Linked DNA regions of Drosophila melanogaster. The protein of the gene in region 3 interacts with the protein of the main gene of each other region in a pairwise test. Each region holds a gene or a part of one and is shown on either strand. Other genes may lie near its edges.

Region 1 (7,178 bases), on a different chromosome or scaffold from region 3:
GTACTCCACGCGGGTCAGTTTCTGGACATGGCAATGCGGGCAGGTGATGAAGGTGGGATCCGGACCCACCGGCAATACAGCTTGATCTGCAAGTCATTGTCAATGTTAATCTTATGTCTGTCACATTGAGAAAAAAACCCACGTTGTATGATCACCACGGGCGGAGGTGCTGTCGTGTGGTGAACCACCCGAACTGGCGCCTGCACGTGCACCACCTGCTCATAGCTCGGTGGGGGCATCTGGTGGGGATAGCCCGGCGCTCCCGCCGGCTGCTGATTGTACTGCATCTTCGTTTGGTTGGTAGTCACGAACTGAAACCGAGTCTTGCGTTTCACTACTCTTGCGACTGCTGTTGCGCAACATTGTTGCTGGCAAAAGCTCTTTGTCGTAGCTTTGTATCTTGTTTGCATTGCTTTTGAGCGCCAACCAAGTCAAGCAACTTAATTTGTTGAAAGCGAGAGTAAATTCGATTGTCAATTGAAATCATGTTCAAGGAAGGAGGAAAGCGCAGTATTAAGTACTGGACTTTTAAATCTTGTTTCCTTCAATCGCCCAAGATTTTATTATAATTAACTAATGATAATCCAGGTTAAAACTAGATGAGCTAATACAATTACATATCTAAATAAATATGCAATTGACAATTTTGTCGTGTGCTGTGCAATAATGTCAATACAGATAAGAATGATTAGCTGAGTCAAGAGCAGTTATTGTACTTTACTTATTTATTTTATTAATAATATTCTACATATGTGCATACATTTAATCAAATTATTGAAGTCTTTAGAATTTGCATTACTCATCCAAATTATCACTAACATTTTTATTTATCGGTTGTCCGCAGCAACAAAAGGATCTAAAATAAGACAAACTTGAAACTGTATTTCATCTGGACGAAGGCAATCTTAGCTCAAGAATAACATACAGCGTATTAAACCACAATCTTTGGCTCCACGACAACTTGAAGTCCTCGGAATTAAGACATACTTGGGACGTATCTTTTGCTCCAGAATTCGGAATTGTAGCCTTCGGTTCGGATAAACTTTTGTAAACCTCCGCGGACCGTCCTTTGAATGCTGGTGTGCTTTTGCGTGGCATCTTTTCAGAACTAAGTTCATTTAATCTTCTATTTATTAAGCCTCAAAACTGTACTCCCGAATTCTAGGAACAAGTCCAAGCTGAACTGATAAGGCCCCACTGTTATCAACAAGCTTTTCTCAAGAGTATTTCTAGTATATCGAACAATTCAAGATGCCGGAAATAAAATCCCCTAGGCCTTACTTTTATCTTAAATTCTTTTTACAAGCCGAGCTCCAGACATCTGGAAAAATAAATACGTATTTTATTGCTTAAAACATATTACACTTAAAGTTCATGTATAGGCTTGCTGCTTTGGAATTTTTCAAAGTGCATTTCCAAAGCTCAAAAGCTCGTGTATATATATTTCATCTGCACTCTGTGGTAAACAGAAATGCAACAGCATTCCTATTTTATTTCAGATTGAGATTCGTATGCCATCTTAGGGGGATCGGTTAGGATCGCCTTTCCAGCCACAGGAACTGCATTTGTAGTAGGATTCATAAATGCCGACTCCACAATATCGATGACCGCAGCATATTGCACTAGCAAATATAAACATTTCAGTTGAAGTTGAAGTAATATCTTCTCATGTGCACTAAAGTACCAAAAATCCATCTTAAGCTTCTTGAATCGCGAGATAGCCAGGCGACTTCTCCTCACCATGGTATGTGAATCGCAGTTGGGACAGTTCGAATCTGTCGACATTTCACTGGAAGCTCCAAGCTTCAACTATCTTTTGTGCAATGCAGTTTGATTGCCGGTTGCATGTTGCAATTGGGTGACTCATGGAATTCTCATGAAGTCAACGAAACATACACATGAGCGTATCAGAGAAATTTAAAAATACTACTACATATATACTTATACACTCTGTTATCAGTTTTAAACTGCAAACTGTGTATTCGAATGGATTTAATAAGTTGATAACTGCGTAAATTTCAAATATCAATTTTTATGTTTTTTGCTACATTGTTTTGACTTTGCACCCAATTTTTGAGCAAACATTCGTTGCTGGAATATAATTGCGATATTAGTTATTTATCGTATATCTATCGTACATTGTAAGCACTATAATTTACCAGTATCTTATAACACATCCATCTATGGTAGTCTTCATAACTCATAGAACGCTTTCTTTCGACACTCGTGACTCGAATTTGCACGTTTCACAAACTATCGTTGTACAGAAGTCTGAATTATCGCGATGTTTGTGAAATAGGAGGAGGAGTTGGAATTCTTTGGTTTTTACCCTGATCATAACATTACGCTGGGTTTTCCATTTCACGCTGACGTCTAGAGCGCAGCTCAAGTTCAATTTACTGAACTCGCATTTCATTTCAATTTGCCTGAACTGAAATGATAATACTGACTGCTGGAATCAGCGAAGCTGATGAATCTCGGCAAATATGAAATCCGCTTGCTTGAATAATAACTTACTTATATAAACATGTTAATAAAATTGGACATCGAATTTGCATCATTTCAGGTATTAATCTGGATACTAGTTGCCAACATTTTTTAAATTATATGAAATTAACTAAATATTGTTGCCCATCTTTTTTATTGGTATTATTGCAGAAAAAGTTGTAATCAAATAAACGGATAAGCGATCAAATTACCTTGTTTCTTCCCTATTCCTTTGTTTAGTGTTTAATTCGAAGAGGGGAAATATAAAATCTAGGTATTAAATTACAAACCTTTTTCCACTGTTCATTGACATAAGTTGTTCAATATACATATATATATATATATATATCCAGTTTCAAGAAGAGGCAGCGATTGTTAGATCAACAATGTGAATGAAGTTATATAAAGGGCGTAGGATGCAGAACCTCAGATAAAAATATCTATAATATATTCCCGCCTCAGAAATTTCCGGGATTTATTAATATTATATACGAAAGTGTTAACATTCATATATCGCCAACAATTTGTGTGATTAGAAATTTATTTTGAAAAGTAAACCAATGCGAAAATTACATACATATATTCAATTGATTTGAACCAGAGTTGTATTTCGTGAATATTCGTGCCAAATCTGATCCCATCAATAGGTGTGGAGATACAAAGTGGGATCTATCCCTGTAATATTTGGTGTTGAGATAGCACTTCTAGTTCTTGTAGGTGCCCACGTAGGCTCCACAGCTGGTGCAGGTGTGTTTGGCCGACTGGCAGGAGTCGGTGCAGTACGGAATGCAGCAGCAGCAAATGCCCCTGAAAATGGCCATTAGTCCTGCGGGCAGGTGGAGCAAACGGGCTGCACTTACCCCAGCATGCAGATGAGTAGGGCCAACAGGTGGGTCTTGGTGCTGGGCTCGAACTCCACCTTCGTCTCCCTGCGGACGCCGCAGCTCGGACAAGTGGCAACGGATGGACATTGGCCCAGGACATTGGGTGGAGCTGAAAGAGGCACGATTGGATTTCGTATAATATGCGATATTATATTTTATGTTTGAATTGCACAGAAGAATTGACCATTATTTCCGATTGATTCATAGTTCTCTGTATTCTCACCCTGCAATATCACTCCCTGTCCCTGATGGAGCTGAGGATAGACCTGCTGCGGTGCGCTATCATAACTGGGCGGTGCCTGGAAACCCGGAGCCTGAGGCTGCATATTCTCGTATTGAAAGTTCTTCTCCATTCTAATTATTCCGACCGATGTGTGCTACGCGTTTGAATTGCCGACAGCGACTGAAACCGCAGAGAGCTCCTCCAACATTGCTCGGCGAACTTTCGAGTTGCGGCGCGATGCGAATTCTATATAGCCCTACTATGTCGGATGGCTTGCTAAGCGATTTCCGTTAAATATTATGTGGCTATCAGAATAAGGGCTTTTACATGAGTAAGTGTTCTTTTTTTTTTGCAGGATGAAAAGCTTTAGTAAGAAATTGCTCAGCCATGATGAATTAATTAATATCAAAACTTACCAATAAAACAGAAATGTTAGCACTTAGTAGGGTATTCCATTGTCAGGTAAACAAACCAGTAGCTTTTACCCTTCCGAAATGGTCCTTCCAGCTATGCTATTAGCACGTATATAACAACAATTTGCATATTTATTGAAAACATAAGAAATACTCAACTCTGCTCAAGAATTGCGTTGTCTCTAAAACAAATCAACCCCCAGGTAAAATCCACTCGTTTCTTCCTTGAACCCTTTTATTGGTGTGCTGAAGAATACATATGCCGGCACTACAATGATTTGTTTTGTTATCAAAATAGTGCGTAGTAATAAATGTGAGAGAGTTAAAAATAGATCAAGTGGGGATAAGTAATGGGGGCTGCATTTCGGCACGGCTGCTGGCTGCAGTCCACGACAAAAAAAAAAAAACAACTTCCGGCGGAAGTTGCTCAGCGCTCGTAGGTGCCAATGTAGGCGTTGCAAGATGGACAGTGGTGGTCGGAGTTCCGGGCGCATTGAGTGCAGTACAGGCAGCAAGCAGGGCCAAAGGCTGCACGAAAGAGATCACTCAATGAGAATGCACCCAGAATGTTAAGAAATCAATATCGAACATGGCTTACAAGGTAAGGCACATAATCAATGCTATCAGGTGAGTCTTGGTGGTGGCTTTCGGCTCCACACGAGTGGTAACCTGTTGACGGCAACTGGGGCAGACCACGATGCACGGTTCCGGGCCAACGGAAGTGGACATTTCGATGGCGGAGCTGCAGAAAGAAAGCACAGGAAACTCTAATAACTCTCATATTGATTGCAGCGCAGACCTTGAAAACTTGAATACGTCGCGTGCCGCTGGTGCATGAGCATTAAATTGGCTGGTTAATGGGGATTTTAATTGCACACCCGCCATGCAAAACAAGCTGTAATCCGCCTTATCTCCCGTCGATGGCACCACGGTGCTGCGCAATCCCTCCTGCCGCCGTGAGGTCATCCTCGTGGGCCACGGAATCTCTTGTGCCATGTGGCAAGCTTCGTGCCGACGCCGTCATCGCACAACCGCGTGTGTCTGAGCCCCGCTCAACCCCGATTCCATCCATCATCTTTGCTCGTCGTTTGGTGCAACTTGCTTGCTCGGTCTGGTCCTATCCAAAATCAACACAATCTATTTATGTATGTTCTCACTAGCGCAAACCACCCAGCACAGTATCCTTATTTAACAGCGGGTGTGTCCGTCGCCAGTGATTAACATTCCCCCCGAAATCCTACTGTCGTCCTGTATGTCTTTGCTGAGTTCTCCCCCAAGCAAAAGTAAATTTTTTGGGGAGCGGCAAAGCAGCGGTAAACATCTAAACAACCAGATATTACCCAATTAGACCTGACTATAATAGTCCGTTGCTCATGTTTGACCCAATCCTAGGCTTGCATAATATATCTCTCCCGTCATACTTACAATCTGTATGGGTGGGTACGTTGTCAAAATAAATAAAGTAGAATTCCGATTTCACAGAGAGACAAAAAGTTAATGCGCACTGTTTGGGCTGCGAAAGTGTTGTGCGGTCAGAAGTTTAGGGCGCGAAGCGGGACACTACACTTCCAAAAGTATTTCCGTTAGCAACATTATGTTGCCTAACTGGGAAGTGATATTTATATACATCCTTAAAATTGATTACAGCGTATCCCTAGGCTGAGTTAAATTAAAATCCTTTTATTCCATTTCTTAAGAACTAAACATTTAGCAGAAATTCAAATATTTTACTAAATATTCAATTATAATGCAAAGAACTTCAGTGATTTCATTTAATAGCATGAACAGTAATCTTGAAGCATCTTAGCATCAATTTAAACTGTGCCAACATGCCGGTTCGTCCCAGCAACATTTTACCGGTTCAAAACAGTTTCATATCAACATTTATTGCTGGACACAAAAGAGTTGTGCTACGAAAAAGTTTCGGGAAAAGACCGCCAAAAAGTACACAAAAACAAAAAAAAAAAACGTATGAACAATTAAGTTTCACATTATTTTTTCTGCAAATCTAGTTGTCTGCAGCAACAATGTAGCCAGATACCCAGAAACAGAAATTAAAGAAAATTCCATTCGCTTCAAAATCTATTTGTTTATTTTTTCGCTGTCAGCTTATTTTGCTCACTAAGCAAACATATTTTTATGTATGTTAAGTGATGAAGACACCACATTGACGCCGTCGATACATAAGGAGATATGAACATACATACATATATGTATGTATAGTTGGTTATGTATATATATATACATATATATAAAATGAAATGATATGAAATCGGCGAGTGTTTTCGCTGCGTCTTCAAAACGAACCCAAGCAGGAGTTGCAGTTGGGACAGTACTGGGAGGTCTTGTAGCAACAGTTGCAGCAGCAAGGGGCGCAGACGCAGGGCCAGCATCTGGTGGATAGAGATGGGAAATAGAGTATATAGCTTATAAGGCACGATCAGCAATTTCTCATAGCTTGTCCAGGAAGAAGCAAAACAATTGCGGCCACAGATATAGCAGACTAGTAAAAACATTTCTTTTTCCGTTTGCTTACATACACATTATGTATGTACAAACCTTTGTTGCTATACTTGCAACCATAAATGCGATCTACTTACAGGAATAGGCAGAGCAACGCCGCCATACAGTAAGTTGATCCGGTAGGATGGTGCTCCACGCGAAGGCGAATCCGAGCGTTGCAGTGGGGACAGATCGTTCCCTGGCGGGTATTGTCCACCAGCACTGTCGTCTGGTGATGCATCACGCTTACGGGCTGCAACACCGGCATGGTTTGGGCCATCACGGGTATCACCGGATTGGGATGTGCGGGCGACGCCAGGTTCTGCTGCATGACGTCCTCCGCTGGAGGAGCGGTGGCGAATGGATCCGAGTAGGGCGGCGGGGAGTCTACGCGCTTGTAGCAACGCATGCTTTTCTATACTCTTCAAATCACACTAAAAATATCAACCAGTTGCTTACAGCTGCGAACGAGCACTGATATAATACTGAAAGCTTCCGTATATGTATATCGATGACAGTTTCATTAAACTCAGAACTGCCTTATCGGTATCGGTATTCAATTGATTCGCTTTCCTCATATTCTGGGTATTTATCCTAATACGAATATAAAATCTATCTACTGGCACACTAGGTGAGGAAATTATGGACCAGAAAAGATTACTTCATATG
Region 2 (8,028 bases), on a different chromosome or scaffold from region 3:
ATTACAGGGTCCACAGCATCCACATCCGTTGCACATGTTGAGTTTGTCTAACGCTGCGGGCGAAAAGTTAAGATGTTATACTTTTTGAACAAATACTTAACACTCACTTTTTTGGTTGAGTTATTATCGAAAAAGTAAATTTGGAATTTAGAAAAAAATTTAGAAGTCGAAGCGACTGGTCCGAGAGTCAGATATCGAATGAGGTTAGCTGTTCCCTTGGCCCAGCACATCCAGTTCAAGTTTCGGTTCGGGTTGGCTTAAAAGTCATGGCCAACTTTATGAAATTTCATGGCCTACTTCGACTTAGCAAAGATTATGAAATCGCCACAGATCTACATAATTATATATCTATATTTGCCTTATTCACTAAAACAAAATATTTGACCCGCGAATTGTTTAGGTCAACTAACTCACTAAGATTGGAACATGGCTCTCCCAGCTCGAAAAAATGGGTTTAAAACAAAGTACTATCAGCAAAGTTCAACTTTTAATTAATTAAATCTTAAATGCCACGGAAACCCACCCTAATAAAATTGATATTAATTAATATAAATATCAGAATATCTGTGGGACATATGAACGTAAATTTTTATGGCCTTGGCATAAGGTTTCAACCTTAATTTACAATTCTAATGCCAGGCTTAAAATATAAATATTCGAAGCATAAGTGCAGCCATAAAATAAACGCAACCTTTAACACCCCCCATAATACACAGAATATAATTTCAATTTGTTTATTTGTAATTTAATGCCAAATAGATTCCAGATACCAACATATGATTTTGTGTTTAAATCAAGACCGTCTGACGAATTGCACATGGGTTCCCAAATAGCTTCGAGCCCTTCTAGTAATGGGTATTCCGCAGCTGGCTAAATCTTGATTTAAGCCAACTTCAATTTTTTATCAACCAAAACTACGTCACAAAACGACAACATGTCCCGCCAAGGAAGTGGCCCATATCAGGATCCGATCGAAACACTTGCCAGGAAATACTTATAAGCCACCTGTGGGATGAGAAAGGTAAAACCAGTGAATGCAGAAGGTATCGCAGTTACTTACACGCGACAGGATGCGGATGGAGGTCAAAGGGTCATGAAGGATTTGGGGCCTGGCAACAGCATTTGGTCCATGGATCCTACCTCTACGCTCACAAAGCCCAGGACATGCTATCATTGTTGACGGATCAGCGTAGTGGGCATAAAGCTCCTGCAAAAGGACATGAAGCGTCACCACAAGCACATGTTCCAGATGCTGTGACCTGCAAAGTCCTTGGGCATGCCTCGTGCTCCTCCGCTCCATGGTTTTTACGTTCTACGGACGCCCAGCGCCGTGACAGATGGACAAGCAGACGGACAGACAGGCGGACAGGTGGACGGACCTGGACCGGACTTACATGGGTACGTCACAGGTGCGTTATAGTAGTTCCAGACACGCGGATCGGGAATGCCGCCTTCAGGCAGCGGAGGGCAGCACATGCCCGGAGCAGAGGAGCAAGGAATGGGCGACGGAGCTCCGCATGGAGGACTGTGCGGGCCACAGCATGGAAGACTGTGCGAGCCACAGCATGGAGGACTGTGCGGGCCACAGCAGGGCGATACATTACAGCAGCAGGGACCGCATCCACAGCAGCCGCCGGCAACGCGTCCACCGCATCCGGCACCGCCATTTGGTGCTCCAGTGGCGGCACAGCGCATACGCTTATTGTTCACGCCCATCATCATGTTAGCGTAGCGCAGCGGGAATGCCGCCGGACCGCAGGTGGGGAAGGGGAAGCACAGGCAGGCCGGTCGGCCCTGGCAGGCGGACCGCGGGCACTTGTCCTGCAGACCGTTCCGCTTCACGCAGTCGCAAGTGGTGTACATGATGCCGCATCGTAACTCCCGACTGCGGCATCCGCGCGGCTGGAAAGGATGCATACATAGTGGTCACAAGTGGTCAGTGGTGTGTTGCATATGGTTACTCACCTCCAACGATCCACATCCGTCACACATCTTGAGCCCGTCGAGCGCTACAGGACAAAGGATTTAAAAATATACTATGGTCTTCCCGGGATAAACTTACTCTATTTGGTCAAATTAATTTGGAAGAAAAATTTGGAATTTGGAAAATTTAGAAGCTGGCCGAAACGAAAGGTCCGAGAGTTTGGTATCGAATGAGGAATGATCAACACATCCCAACACACATATTCGGTTCCGTTTGAGATGAAATGCAAGGCCAACTTGTTGGAATTATAGCCTACTAGATTTTAAGAAAGAGTTAATATTAGATTCAAAATGCAAAAAGCTTTTTCGCTCTTTTTAAAAGCTCTGTTATCAGCTAATTGTATTATGCGATTTGCTTACAATTCTGATAAGCGATCCTCTTTTCAGTTCATTCCAAGTTCCCAAGCTGATCGGATTGGAGCAATGCCTAACATTGCAGTTATCGGTGCCGGGGTTAATGGTGTTGCCAGTGCCATTAAGATACTGGAACACTATGTGAACGATGGAAAGACACCCATAAAGGTGACGATCATATCGGAGGACTTCACGCCTAACACAACTGGAGATGGTTCGGCTGGTCTCTGGGGTCCGTACCTTCTGGGCGGCACTTCGCAGGCGAAAGTCTAGTAAGTTTTACTAGTCACTATATTATATTCTTACTTATAACTTTTTTTCCATCAGCAAGTGGTCGAAGAGCATGCACCAATTTTTGGAGAAGATCTGGCTGAGCGAGGATGCCGGAGAGGCTGGCGTTTGTCTGCTACCCTGCATTCGGCTGAGCACCTCAACGGTGGACACGGTCGAAGATTTTTGGCGTGACATTGTCTATGGAGCAGTGGATCTGTCCAAGGAACAGCTGGCTGCCTACAATAAAGGTCGCAGCGTTAAGTTCACGTAAGAATATTCATAGATATCCATAGATTTATACTTGCTGAAATATGAACATATCTAAACCATATCTAGGTCTGGTTTATCCTTTGTTACCTACACCTCGGAGCCCATTAAGCTACTGCCGTATTTGATGAAGCGTTTCACCCGAAATGGAGGTGTTGTTGTCCGGAAAAGGATTACAGACCTGGATGCATTTGTAGCCGATTCCGAGTACGATGTGATAGTCAATTGCTCCGGATTGGGCTCTAAGACCCTACTAAACGACGATCAAATGTACGCAGTGCGTGGCCAAGTTTCCCGGGTGAGGGCCAACTGGATTTTCTCTGCCGTGCTGGACGAGAGTGATGATGGCAACTATATTATACCCAAGTGAGTATTTGCCAGTTACACTTATTTGTTCGTATTCCAATATCTGAAATATTTAAGCACCGAAAGTGTTGTCCTGGGCGGAACCCATCAGGAGCGGGACTACAACACTAAAGTCTGCCAGAACGACAGGCGGATGATCGTCGATGGCTGTCAGCGGTACATTCCTGGTTTGGAGCACACGGAGTGCCTCTTTGATTGGGTAGGTCTCCGGCCGGGTCGCACCCAACTCCGACTGGAAGCCGAGCGCCGCGGCCGCAAGCTCCTCATCCACAACTATGGACATGGCGGCAGTGGAGTCACTTTGTGCTGGGGCTGTGCCGACGATGTCCTCAATATCCTGTTGGCCGCCAAGAACGGTTCCAAATTATAAGTCAGTTGGAAAGATTATTATTTTAGTTCTATAACAAAATTGGTAGTGTAAAGGTAACAGCATTTAAAAGCATCTCTTTATCTACATAATAAACATTTTAATATATTTCATTACACTTAGCAATTTCTATATGGAAAATGTTATAAAATTGAATTGAATGCTGTACTACGTTTTGATTGGGTCAATGCAAGCATATTTTTGCCTGTGTAGGCAGCACTATCGCCATGGCATGGGGATCGTATTGATAGGCTTATCACCGACTGCTTGGAAACATTCCACTATTCCACCCCCCCCGTCAAAATTGGCACTCCACGATGGTGCCTGCAATTAAGTAATTGTGAAAGGGAAGCTGGGGGAATTACGATGGGGTAGCCCAAGAGTAGGCAGACATTTATGTGAAGAAGACAGCAGGAAACATATCAAATATCGTCGTCGTGGCGCTTTTCGGCTGCCTCCTTGGCCAACCTGGCATCCAGGGCCTCGTGGAACTCCTCGAAACCGGGCATTTCAATGTACTTCAGTACCGGCGAGACGGCCAGTTCAAACAGCAGTGCGTACATCTCGTCTAGCTCGCGAAGGATGTCAAAGGGCCGGGTGTTGCCAACCTTGTAGATCGAGTAGATAGTCCGCCCGATCTCTTCGTAATCGATCAGACTGGCGGCCTCCTGGTCCACGGAGCTGAGGGCGATGAAGCTGACCCGCGGCATGTGCATGTGCTGGGCCACAAAGCCAAAGACATCGAAGATGGTCGACAGGAAATCCCGGTTAAAGTAGAGCTCATCCGGAAAGGCGATCTCGTGGACGAACAGTGCATCGTAGGTGGAGATGCCCATGTTCGCTTTGGTCGCATCGATGAGCTCCTTCTTCATCATTATGATCTGCTGGAACAGATTCCTGGGCAACGAAGAGGGAAAGAAGACCCTGTAATAAAAACAGACATGTTACTAGTATATATTAGGCAAATGATAGTGGATTTATTGATCATACCAGGAGTGCCATTCCTCGGTCATCCATTCCAGCAATCCCACTGCCCTTATTTGCGTTTCATCTTCGCTAATCATCATCACGGAGCACTCGTTTCGCAGGATGTGTCGCACATACCTTTATAACAATATTCCAATAATGTTTTATTACTCTACATTTGTTCATAACTTTTTTATAAAAGCACATTACCAAGAATAAGTCTGTTTCATGTCCGGCAAATCGAATAGTCCCAGACTCTCATAGACAAGACTTTTCAGAAACGAATTGGACCACATGAACTCGATCACCATGTCATAGTACCTACATATATTTCAATTTTAACATCTAAACTTTACATTTCTCTGACCATACATGCTTTGAATTGATGTCAACTATTTGCATGCCCTCGAAAACATCCCATTGGATATCATACCGCAGAGTGCGGACATCTTCCATCGCATTTAAGTCACTAAGAATTTTAAAACCACCGAAGATTTTTGAATTATATATACGAGCTCAAAAGGTAGAAGTTAAAAGTCTGGAAACTTAAGCTAAAACTGCAAGATACTTTCGAAAGAAGAAAAGAAAAGCAAAGCATACTTTTTGGGTCCATAAAAAGAAGGAAGTTAACGTACCTCAACAGACCATTTTTTTGAGTGTTTTAAATGAAGTACATTTAAATATCTGAAATGTATCTGTAATGTTTAGAATAAAAGGTGAGCAATACATTTCTCTATTAATGTAGATAATTTCTTGCTAGAAGATTGGAATATGGGTTTGCATACTTCTTGGATGGCATTCACGTTGCTTGTAAAACTGTTCAACATATTGTTTTCCAAATACGATGGTCTTAAATTGGTTTTTTTTTCATATCCAAACGGAATAACCGTAAATGTTTATTTGTATTACGAAATGCAAATGAACTGTTTTGAATAATGTCATAATTAAACGAATATACAGGCGGTAACAATCAAGGGTGATACGTGTAAATTTAATTTGTCTAATGTCTCAATTTGAATAAATTGCCACCACATAAAAGCAAATGCAGCCCAAAAGAATGTAAATAACAATCGCACCCATTTTGTGGGTGGAATTCAATGGAAGGCGGATATCGTAGTCAAATGGAAACCAAACCAAATCCACCCTCCAGCCAAAAAAAAAAAAAAAAGAAAAAAGAAATGTGCCAACTGAGAACACGTCCTGGAACATACACCTTGGATTCCTTATTTTAAAATTCAAAGACCATCGGGTGTCATTTACTAGGCAACAAACCAATTGAATAACCGAATTTGGCTCGGATGCTCCCTCATTTCCTAAAAGGATCCCTTCTCAGGAAAGACAGCGCATTTTTAAATGTTTCACATCCTTGTCCGTGAGACAATTGAATATTTAAATACAAGCGACACTTTTAATGGCTGGCATCGGATGTCGGTTGGACCGCTGCCACACGCATTTGTGGCATAGCTATTCAGGACACGTATGCCGCCGTCTCATGTCTCTCCTGATAAATTCAATATCGAAAAGAAATAACTTAATTTTTGGCATTATTCGATGGGGGATTTATTTGAAAGTGCTCTTCGCTTTTCTCTTCATTTCATTAGAACGAATGGTTCGAGCTTAGTCGAGCTGAAGCATTGAGCATCGGCTTTGGCTAAGTCCGCAATGGACTTTATGATGTTGCATAAAATGTGTGTGTGGCGGGCATAAAAACGTCTCATTTGGGACTCATTTAATCCGCCAAATTGTTTGCACACACTCGCATTTGCCACACCCATCGTCGCACATCCTTTCATGCCACAAAAAGGTAAACGATTCGGTGCCGCAACAATAGCAAGTTTCAATTCATTCGAAAATCGCTTAACGTCAGCCGGGCGGTTTAGCATGTTTTTCAGCGCACACCTGCGCATTCCCTCGGAATCGCGAGCTGGGTGGTGCCACCCAATGGTGAAGCTGGTCTGGGTGGTTCTCTGTGGATCTGGGTGGTGCCCCTGTCAGCCGTGACTTGCATTCGCCGCTTGCGTTTAAAATCGAAAATACACAACGAAATGGAATGCAGCCGAAAAGCAAAGGTGTCGGCAGCTAAACGGCGATCAGAACGAAGTTTATACATTCTAAAGATAGTAGTAGTAAAGATACAATACATAACTTCAGACTGCTTATATTACTAACTAAATTACTAAACTAAATGATCTGACTAAAGACTGAAAGCATTTTTGATTTATTTTTTATTTATTGAATAGTAATGCACACAAGAAACCATGTATTTAAATATTTAAATTGAATGGTATATTATCCTAAGCTGTAGTTTCTTATAAATTTATACACTCTGCACCCCAATTAACGAACCCTTGACAGGGTATGTCAGTGAGATGTGATTGTGATGGCTGAAAAAGCCGGCTGACAATGGATTGCGGGTTGGTTGGAATGGATTCTGTTGGAATGGGATTCTGGGAGCTGTACACTTGTTAGCCGCAAGGTGTTTGCAACCTCATCAGGGGCAGCCCACTTTCCCATACCCATTTTCATTCGGTTGAAGCTTCGCGGTTGTCGAAAGGCAAACAAATAAACAAACAAGTCGTCAGCAAGGGTTCAACAAAAGCAGAGTGCTCAAAGTAATTCAAAATACAGTCAAATGGGAAAGGAGTTGAGGATAATCCATGGGATAATCTATGTGCTGCCGTAGTGTTACCCCATGTTTGATTATTTAGCGTTTAAAAAGCGTTTAGTCTAAGTATCTTTCTGTTTCACTGCTCTGCAGATGTTGAAATACATGAAATTTTTACTCTGGAACTTTTCTCGGCAATGATTTGCCTGGTTCACTTTAGGGGAAAAATTGCGTAGCGATCATAGCTCATAATTATGCTTGTAAAAACAAATTAAACTTCAGTTATATACTCCATTTTGACTCTTCACAAAACTCCGTTGTCTGCTGGCTGATTTTGGGACTTAAAATGAATTTAACAACGGCAAGAGAGGCTTCATTTTTGTGGCAACTTGAAACAATGATGTGAGCAAAGCTGTTTTCAAGCCAAAAGTCGCTAATCATGTCGCAGCAAGTACAGAAATTAGAAGATAATAAAATATAATTTAAATAGATTATTATGTATTAAGAACAAATTTAAATGAATTACGACTATTATTTAAATAGTTACAAGCTTTGTTTATTTTTTATTAGCTCACCTTAGTATGATTATCCAAATGTCTTATATATTAATATGCTAAAAAGTTTGTAGCTTTTTCACATTTTTCGGCGAGCAGCACTGAAGAGCATTTCGGCCTTTAAGAAAGACGTTAAGAAACTTCGGGCTCGGTTTTAACTCACTTAGGTCGCTTGCGACTTATGCTAAACTTTTCAATTGCCTCTTATTACAGTTGTTATTGCTGTTGCCGCGCGCTTTTCATTGTTGCGCGGACTCGAGTGAAATGCAAATTTATTCAAAATGGGGGAAAAT
Region 3 (9,253 bases):
AACGCTCGACAATAGCTGATATGGGTCGCCAAGCAAACGGCGAACTTGGGATGAATATGGGAAAAATATGGGAAAATACCAGAGAATCCAGGCAATCCGGTGGCAGCCAACGGCGGACCGCACAAGGCGATCGTCGTGGAGCGTGTGGGTCGTGAGCATCCGCCGCAAACCGCCGGTGGTCATGATGCAAAGTAGCCGATTCGGTGTTCAACTTGGAGTGCTCATTCCATACATTCAAACTCGGGCGTCGTGAGTGAAAATCAAGTGAATTAATTAATGCGAAAAACGAGCCGTTCGATCGAAATGAACAAATCGATTTTTGTGGCAAATTTAATGCTATCGTATTTCGAATATGAATTCCAAAAAGTTTGTACGCTGAACTGACTGCTGTAAGCACAATTAGCCCAAAAGCAAGTGATCAAAGATCGCTTGTGTGTATCCCCAATGTTTCGGCCAGGTGAATCACTTCGTGGCCACAATTGAAACAATTTCCAGACGAAAAAGTGCTGAGTAGCCACTCCAAATAGCCAGATAGATGGCCATGCCATGAATAATTAGCAGTTGTAGTAGTTTGTTGATTGTTGCTGTTCGAATTCGACTTGCTGCCGTTGGACAGTGAAAGCAGTCACATACCGAGCTGAAATTCGAATTCAAATCGAAATTCAGCTTCAAATCGAAATCCAAATCCGTACCGGAATCCCACTTTCGAGCCGCTGAAGAAGCAAAGCGACCGACGAGGCAAACTCAAGTGCCAAATCGTGTTTATTTGCGTTATAAAATTAGCGCAGTGCAGTGGCGTCCATCCAGGTGGAGGAGGGGGGGGGGGGTCGATTGCCCCACAAATCCCCCAACATTGGCGCCCCTGCAACACGCTGGCTGTGCAGCCAAAGTGAGTTGAGCTTTTTGGGGCACGAATTGCCCGGCTCTGATTGCCATGTGACGGGGCACAAAATCCAGCTTATGAATACATGAATACGAATGCGAATACACTGGGCAACTAGACTCGAATATGAGTGTGTCTGCTATATATACTCGTATTTTGGTCAATTATCGTGCGAGTATGCTTTCATTTACATGCGATTTTCATTTGGTTGCTAGCTTGAGTATATTTAATATTATAGTTATCGCAATTTATTGCAAGTGTAATTTGTGATTATCGTGAATGAATTGCATGGCGTTCCGTTTGAGAAAATTCGAAATTATTGCGGCTAATTCCGTTCGATGCGAACGGTTGTGAATCAACTGGCACTCACACCCACACAATTGCAGGCTCACCCCTTGCACTCACACTCACACTCACACTCATTCGCACTCACACTCACACTGGCACGGACAAATTAACCCTTGAGTGGCACTCGGCACTTCGTTCGTCAAGTTGCTTTAATTGACTTTTAAATTCGCAAAAAATCAAAGCGAAAAAGTGTGACAAAGTGCCAAAAACAAGAATGCAATGCAAATAAGTGGCATTGGGCGGGGAGGCGGTAAAGTGCTGGCAACAACAACTGAAACAATAACTGCACTCGTGAAACGCTGACGCCGAACATTTTCACACCTCGGACAATGCAGAATGCAGAAAGTGCGGGGCGTCAAGGGGTTAAGCAGCAGCAAATTTATGTAGAAAATGTGAAAGAAAAAAATCAAAAAAATCAAAAAAAAACTGAAAAATCAAAAACCAAAAAGTGAGAAATACTCAAAAAACCGAAGGGCGTTTGTCGACACTTTTCCGAATTTCTCCCACATTCTTCAACCGTTCGCTTTTCTAATTTACGTCAACGCAAAATCAAAGCAAAGTCAAAAGACGACCGCACACAATGTCCGAGGCGAAACTACAATTAAGAATATTTTTATCAGCCAAGGAGACACACACACACACACATGCACATGCAGCTATACATATGCATATATGTACATATACATATATAATGGGGCTGGCTATTAGCAAAGTGGCTCAAATATCAAAGGGCGGCGACATACGGATATTTGGCTGTTGCCACTTGAATGGAGATGGCCAGAGTTTTCGGCAGACTGACAGCCAGCAATTAGCAGTTCTGGAGTCGAGTCAGTGATTGCAACACTTCCGTTGCCACTAGAAACGATAAATCAGTACATAAATCAGTACATAAGGAAATGATAAGGAAATCGTGATTATTACTCTTACGAATATTCGTAACTGAATTTAAACGTAATATCTATTTAGTAAGCCGTTCCCCAATGGATCAGCATCAGCATCTCAAGCTGGCTAACTTAAATTTTGAACTCATACATACCAACTTAGTTACTTATTATCTGTATACATTGTTGGCATGCTCAGCTAAAAAGTGGAAAATCCTAAATGGTTAATTTCGAGAGGCGAGTAAATTGTCGAAATCTTTGCAGCACAAGTGCACCAATACAAGGAAAATCTTGAATTGTATGTGTGTGTGGGGATGTGCAAACACATCAAAACGACTGTCACAACAAAGCGACGCGCGTAGCCAAAGTGAAAATTGTCAATTAAATGTGTGGCGGTGTGGTGTGCGAAGAAAAAGCGCTTTTCTTATTGTCGTTGGGCAACCAATTTTCCGATTTGGGTTTTCCCTTCTGGTAAAAGATCAAAGGCACTTAATGGAGGGCGCCAAGTACTCAGCTCTGGACAGGAAATCCGTCCGAAATCCGGCCAGAAATTCGCTCGCGATTCGACCAAACCTGATGCGATTTTTTAATTGACGAGCTGGCCACGCAAATGGGTATAAAATCAACAACGGATACCCGAAATATTCGTACGACAACGAAGCGAGTTGAAAATATGCAAAATTAAATAGGATGACGCGAATGAAAAGCAGAAAGCACGGCTAAACAGAACAGAAGAAAATGGGGAGTGAACTAATAAGCACGACTACTGCATACCCTAAAACATATAAGCCTTTCCTAATTTATAAGCTTTTACCACAGGCAGACCACTTTCTCTATCTCTATTTATGAGCACGACTATTACATACCCTAGAATATATGCTTTTAGCGGAGGCAACCCACTCTCTCTCATCATCGCAGAGCAACTCGCCCTGTTTATTGCACCAAAACTAATGAGCACAACTATTACATACTACATACATTACCACTATTTATAAAACCTTAACTAATTGGTCATAGTTTAAATTGTAATCCCAGTCTGCTAGCCCATACTACCCATAACTATTTAGCAGCTAAGAGCAGTGCTCTTTCCCACATTTATTAAACGCAAATTACGACGAAACTGTGGAAATGGGCGATAAACGGATAGGAGTATTGTAATTAAAATAACGCATAAACATCGAGCCAAAAAGAAAGCCGCACAACATGCGAAATCAATAAAAAAAAAAATAATAATAATAAGACCCCAAAAAAAAGGGTCCGGAAGTGTAGGGGTAAACAGATTTGAAATCAAGAAATCAGATTCAATCTACTCATATATGTATCTACATATCCACATAAGTTGAGTGAGTGCGCAGTGAAATTGGCACAGTGAATCAGTTGCAGAGCAATGGAAATCGGTGATGACGATGATGATATTTCAACGCTAATTAAAATAATAATAACAATAATAACAGCTGCCACTTGAATCTGCAAGATTATCTGCAGAGCCTCGCACTTTTCACAGTGAAAGAAATTTGGCTAAACGCTTCAGGATTTTGTTATTAATGCCATTCCAGATATAGTTCACAAATCCAATGAGAAATATAACAATTTGAAGTGCTTATGTTGTTAATCAACTGCTTACTTCTGGCAGCCAGCAACTAGTTCCTAGTTTTTTACCGTGTATCCAATCCCTGCACGGCTTTTCATGCCTTTCTGTTTATCTGCCTTCACTGTCATCGCTCCAACTTCGTATGATATTGCCACTTGCAAATGAGCTTTGAATCGAGAGAGACAGCAGGTCGACTCGAGTTCACTGTTAGTGTGTGGGATTTTCTTGCAGTGTGCGTGTTTCATTGCCTGTGCTGATCGCCAAACAAAGGCGCACCTACAGTGGCACAAAAGCGACCAAAAACCTACTCGAAAAGCATACCAAGCTTATTATAAATTGATTCGGATTTCCACTGATTCTAGAATTTTATTTAAACAATATGAAAACTAACTATTGTCGTTAGTGTGCCCAAACTATTGCAACAATTGTGAAGCCCAGTTTTTGCTATGCTCAAACCAGAGTGCAACACACACACAAACACTCACACACACACATCCACACACAGTGCAATTAGCAGCTCAACTTGAGTGGTGGTGCTTTGGATTGGAGTGGCTTCGGAGGCGGATTGCCGGATTGCCGGATCGGTGGAGCGGTGGTGCGGATGCGGGCGTTGTGTCGTTTGCAGTGGGGCCAAAGCTGATTTGGCGGACGATGGACCGCTGATTAATTCCTTTTTTATGCTAACTAAGCGGCACTCCAGACACCGATTCGCCCCACTGTGTGTGCGTGTGCGTGTGAATCGAATGTATCTGTATCTGAATCTGAATCTGTAAATGTATCTGAGCATGTGTATATGTGCGCCTGTGTTGGTGTGTCTGGCAGGTGACAAAACCAGTTGCGATTGCTAATTGCGTTTAAGCTTTGATTGTCAGTGTAAATACATCGAACAAAAGATTTTTAAAATCGCTATAGCGAAATATATGTAAGTTAGCTACGGCACTTTTCAACTTTCCCATGTTCAGTATATGCATAAATGAAAAAAATATATATATCTGTGTTTTACTAACTGCAATTAACTGCAATTTGAGTGGTTCGCTGGCGGGGACATTGGCTTACCCTGCGCGTGCAGCAGCGGGTGGTGCGGATGGTGGGGGTGGTGGTGCTGCATCGGCGGCGGCGGCGGTGGCCCGCCAACGGCTCCGTGTGGGTGGTGCGGGTGGTGGTGTGGATGGTGCTGGTGCTGATGCTGATGATGATGGTGCACCGCCGCGGCCAGTTGGTGGGGCATAAAGGCCGCTGCCACCGCCGCATGGGCATTGAAGTAGGCCATTCGCGAGGCGGCCGCCATGGTCATTTGGTGGTGCTCCCTGTACTGATGGTGGTGCGGCTGGTGGTGCTGCTGCTCTTGTTGCTGCTGCTGCGGCTGCTGCTGTGGCTCCGAAACGCTCGTTAAATTGCCTTCGGCCGCATTTGTTGGTGTTGCTGCCGTAGCTGCTGATGTTGCTGCTGTTGCCATTGTGGCATTTGTTGTCTTTGGCGGCGTTGGCGTTTGGCGCTCTTTTGCCACCGTTGCACCGGCAGTTGTCGTCAGATCGGTTGGCGCTTCTGTGGCCGCCGCCACCGCCAAGCCCAGCAGCTCCTGAATGGCAAATGGCGAACGCTGCGGCATTTTCGATTGCTAATATTTCGATTTACGTCTAGATATTGCCGTTGTCAAAACAAATCGCTTGAAAACATCATGCAGTCCCAATTGAGAAACCCAGAAAACAAAAAAAAAAACAAAGCAAAGGCAAGTTTTGCAATGTTGTAAAGACTACGCGAAATGGGATTTGCGAATGGAGGTTTTGAGATTTTGCGCTGGCACGCGTCGCAGAAAAACACACAACAAATTCGCAATAATTTCCACGTTAAACTGTTGCCTGCGTTAATGTGCACCAGGAGTTTTGTCGTCGCAGTTGCTGTTTCTGTTTGCTGTTGCTGTTGCTGTCGTGCTGTTGCTGCCGTTATGTTGCTGCTGGTGGTTGGCTTTCGACTTGGCTTTGCATTTCGCTTTGGATTTGGCCAAGGAGGCATTCAGCTAACAAACGGTAAACGGCCAGCGGAGCTTTGCTCTTCCGAGGACCTCAAATCGCATGGCAAGCGCAGCAGCAACATTTGCAGCAGCAGCAGCAACACCAACAGCAGCAGCAACAGCAGTAACGGCGGCAACGGCGGCAAAAGCAGCGCGCCGACAGCGACGCTCGCGTCGACTGCGCTGCCCGGCAACGGTAAATATTCAGGGGCGGTCTCTGTCGCACGCTAGCCGCACTCTTCGCCGCTCAGCGAGTGCGAGGGAGTCAGCAGCATATGGGCCTTCCCCTCGGCAACATGGCGCATGTGCGACATCCATTCGCCGTTAGAGTGAGGAGAGCAGCAAGCGCCTTCCAAGCACCATCTAGCCGTGCTCTTCTCGCACACGCGTAACCTTCCAGTTTTCCCGCGAACTTCCAGTTCGGACCGAAACGCATTAGTGTTGGTGCGCTGCTTGCCGTTGTATTGGTGCCCGATTGCCACAGTGTGCGGCGCCCATTTTGTGTGAGTGAAAGAGAGCCAGAGAGCGCAAGAGTGGGAGAGGGCATGGTCAACAGGGCTGGGGTGGCGCAAAAAAAGGCGCAAGAAAACAACTATTTCGCAGACCCGAACTCGAACTCGGAACTCCAACCGCTCTCCGTTCAATGAAGGACGCCAATTTATGGCCCAAAAAACGAGCCACCATTCGGTTTCCAGCTGGTAGAAACTACTCACTTGTCGGCCGCCTAACAATGCCTTTCCCTTCCCCAAAAAAAAGGCAGTCTAATTAAAATTTTCGCCAAAAACTTGTACTATTGAAATGCGTAAATTAGCATTTACACCACGTCCTGTGTGCATGAGTGTGTGCGTGTGTGCCAGTGGGAGAGTCCTTGCTGCGCAGTTTTGCAGGATTTCAAGAGATTTTGGGGTCGTGCTATGTGGGTTATTGTTCTCGGAGAAATGTCCCGAAATTCGGCAAAATAATTCGGCTTGATTTCGGCAGCAGTCGAAAAGTAGAGCTTGTAATGGACTTGCAAATTACTGCTAGGCAATTGAGGGACTTACAATTAACTCGGTCCCGAAAGGGATCTCCTACAAAAGGCCATACACAGATAGAAAAAACGTGTTGATATTTAATTCTCAAAAAAATATATAAATATATTTTGTTACGCATCGATTATATTCTATATACACGCATTGATTTCTATTTAAAGAAAATAAAGACACCAGCAATTGGAAAGCCACGATCAGTGGCAGGCAAACGGGTCTTTTGGGGCTTTTCTCACGCCCCCACACAGTGAGCTCTGCCTATGGAGAAACCCACGCGGCAATTAGACAATTGAAATGCCAACGCTCACACGGCCATCGCAGCGAAATCGGAGCGGATCGAAACGAAACGGAATCACAGATCATATATATGTATATACATATATGTATGTAAGTATGTACATATCCGTCGGGCCACGCAGTCTGGCATTTGGAAATAAAAGAAAGAGAGGCAACGTGGTCGTGCGAGAGAGAAAGAGAGCGAGGGAGAGAGAGACGGGGGCAGGCTGCAGAAAGGAAGGCAGCGAACGAAGAGTGCGTGCTAGAAGAATTTCGCGGGTAATTCGATATTTTCTTAAGCAGGTTGCCCCCGGAATGATTATGATTCATTCATTGGGTATGCGAGCTCTTTAAGGCGAAATTCGTTTATTTACTGGAATTTGATTGTTAATTAACTTGCAATTACAATCGCCGGGGGATCCTGTCAAAATAAATATTGAATTTCGCCGATGATTATGGGTAATCCGATATTGATGATATAGTTTTACTCTATTTCGCTGAGAACCATATAGTTTTCACCTGGCCATTAACCATTGGTTACAGTTCAATGTTGGCGATTTCTTGTTTTATTTCTGCTTTTTTATTTTTACTAAATCCACTGGCATGTCCTGCGAGTTTCCAGGAACTCGGACCTGTGTGCTTTTGTTTTGCAAATATTTTGACGTGCCAACGAAGGACTGACAACCCAACTACCTGGCCAAAGTCCGGCTATATATTCATTCATATTCATTCATATATATATATATATATATATTTTTGAATACTTTGATACCGGGTGCCTTATTTCGTCTCGAGTTGCTCTTCACATTTCTGGTAGTTGACGTGGCCCGCCGAATGATTTAATTATGATCTCAAGTGCGAGAGTTTACCAAAATCGATTGTCAATTATGTGTCGAGATTTATTTACTTAACTATTATTGTCTTGGCACACACACAATGCACAGCACACAATCGGAATCGGAATCGGACAAACTTAATTATGAACAATTAAAGTTCAGTTACTTTTTGTGTAGGCTTCCCCCAGCGAGTTTCTCGATTATTTTTTGGACTGACAGGCGGTATAAGGCTTACCAAAAAAAAAAATATATATATATATATATATATATATATATATATAAAGCTATCCTATACGAATAAAAGCAGTAATAAATAATAATAATAAATCAAATGGCATAAATAACAACAAGCACATTGTTGTGTAATTAAGTTGTTAAGTGTGAACAAATCTCGGTAAATCTTCGCGGGGCAACGGGGGTGTTTTTTCAAGGGGCTTTAGACAATATTATTGTCACACAATTGTTGCCGTGTGATTAGTTGAAACTTTAATTGCGCCACAATGGCATAATAACAACGATAATGGCCCGAAAAGCAGAGAAAAACTTCGAAGTGAAGGTTTTTGGCATTCGCACTTAGGCGAGATTGAAATACTCTTCAAAAGTTGTGCTATAAATGGGCATATTATTAGGAAAATTTTCACGAATTTCATATTTTCTATTATTATTCTTATTAAAAAATGGGCCTTTCTTAACTAGAATAATATGAAATAAATTCTAAGATTAAATATATGTTGTCAATAATTGAAAACCAATTATTTTGCGTTTTGAATACTTTCGCTAAGCCCCGAAATAATTTATAGAGCATACTAATTGCATTTACCGTACAAGTGGAGGCATTTGGTATTAGCCGTGAATTATAATCGTCATTATCATATTACTATTATTTATTATTGTTATTGTGTCTGCTATTTCTGTGGCTCTGGTCATTGTTGCTTGTCCTGCTTATTTCGAGTTCAGTTTTCAATTATTTAATTGTTTATTTCGCATGGGTAACGTGAGAAAATTAATTTCTGCCTTTTGGCGAAGACACAAAGTTTGCGGGCGCTGCCCACAGATGGCGCTTTGGTTGCGTTTATGGCTAATTTTGCACAAAGCCAATCAGCGTGTCCTTGTTCTGCGGTCGGTTTGTGTCTTCGCTAATTAGTGAAAGTTTTCGCACATTTATTTAATTAGTCGAATTCCACGGATTTTACCTTGCTTATTTTTATGTTCATTATCGCTAAATATTACTTATAAAATCGTTTTAATGAATCTCATTTCGTAGCCATTTTTACTCATATCCATGTTATAAATACCACCGCCCCTTGATGCCATATAAAGAAAACGATATGTACATCCTTTAATGGGATTATCTGCACTAATTTCCGCCCAGCAAAAAGTAACAGACGAACTGAAGTTG

The links.
Region 1: the proteins of Vsx2 (region 3) and CG4250 interact in a two-hybrid assay, tested with the Drosophila melanogaster proteins (2 studies listed by BioGRID).
Region 2: the proteins of Vsx2 (region 3) and CG17377 interact in a two-hybrid assay, tested with the Drosophila melanogaster proteins (2 studies listed by BioGRID).

Annotation. Positions count from the first base shown.
Region 1 is NT_033778.4:22,660,291-22,667,468, reverse strand, and holds CG4250 (uncharacterized protein), read right to left. Parts: upstream 3,778-7,178; 5' UTR 3,725-3,777; coding exon 3,556-3,724; intron 3,481-3,555; coding exon 3,348-3,480; intron 3,295-3,347; coding exon 3,192-3,294; 3' UTR 2,995-3,191; downstream 1-2,994. Other genes in the region: CG30273 (uncharacterized protein), read right to left, coding at 1-86, 143-287; CG42867 (uncharacterized protein), read right to left, coding at 1,520-1,622, 1,685-1,785; CG42565 (uncharacterized protein), read right to left, coding at 6,304-6,400, 6,608-6,918.
Region 2 is NT_033779.5:6,800,646-6,808,673, forward strand, and holds CG17377 (uncharacterized protein), read right to left. Parts: upstream 2,145-8,028; 5' UTR 2,063-2,144; intron 2,010-2,062; 5' UTR 1,993-2,009; coding exon 1,966-1,992; intron 1,903-1,965; coding exon 1,306-1,902; 3' UTR 1,208-1,305; coding exon of another isoform or gene 1,206-1,207; 3' UTR 1,063-1,205; exon of another isoform or gene 1,061-1,062; intron 1,006-1,060; coding exon of another isoform or gene 995-1,005; 3' UTR 733-994; downstream 1-732. Other genes in the region: CG17376 (uncharacterized protein), read right to left, coding at 1-36; Daao2 (D-amino acid oxidase 2), read left to right, coding at 2,407-2,609, 2,665-2,877, 2,947-3,243, 3,301-3,613; CG17375 (uncharacterized protein), read right to left, coding at 4,033-4,534, 4,601-4,714, 4,787-4,897, 4,953-5,032.
Region 3 is NC_004354.4:5,554,651-5,563,903, forward strand, and holds the start of Vsx2 (visual system homeobox 2), read right to left. Parts: upstream 5,534-9,253; 5' UTR 5,313-5,533; coding exon 4,760-5,312; intron 1-4,759.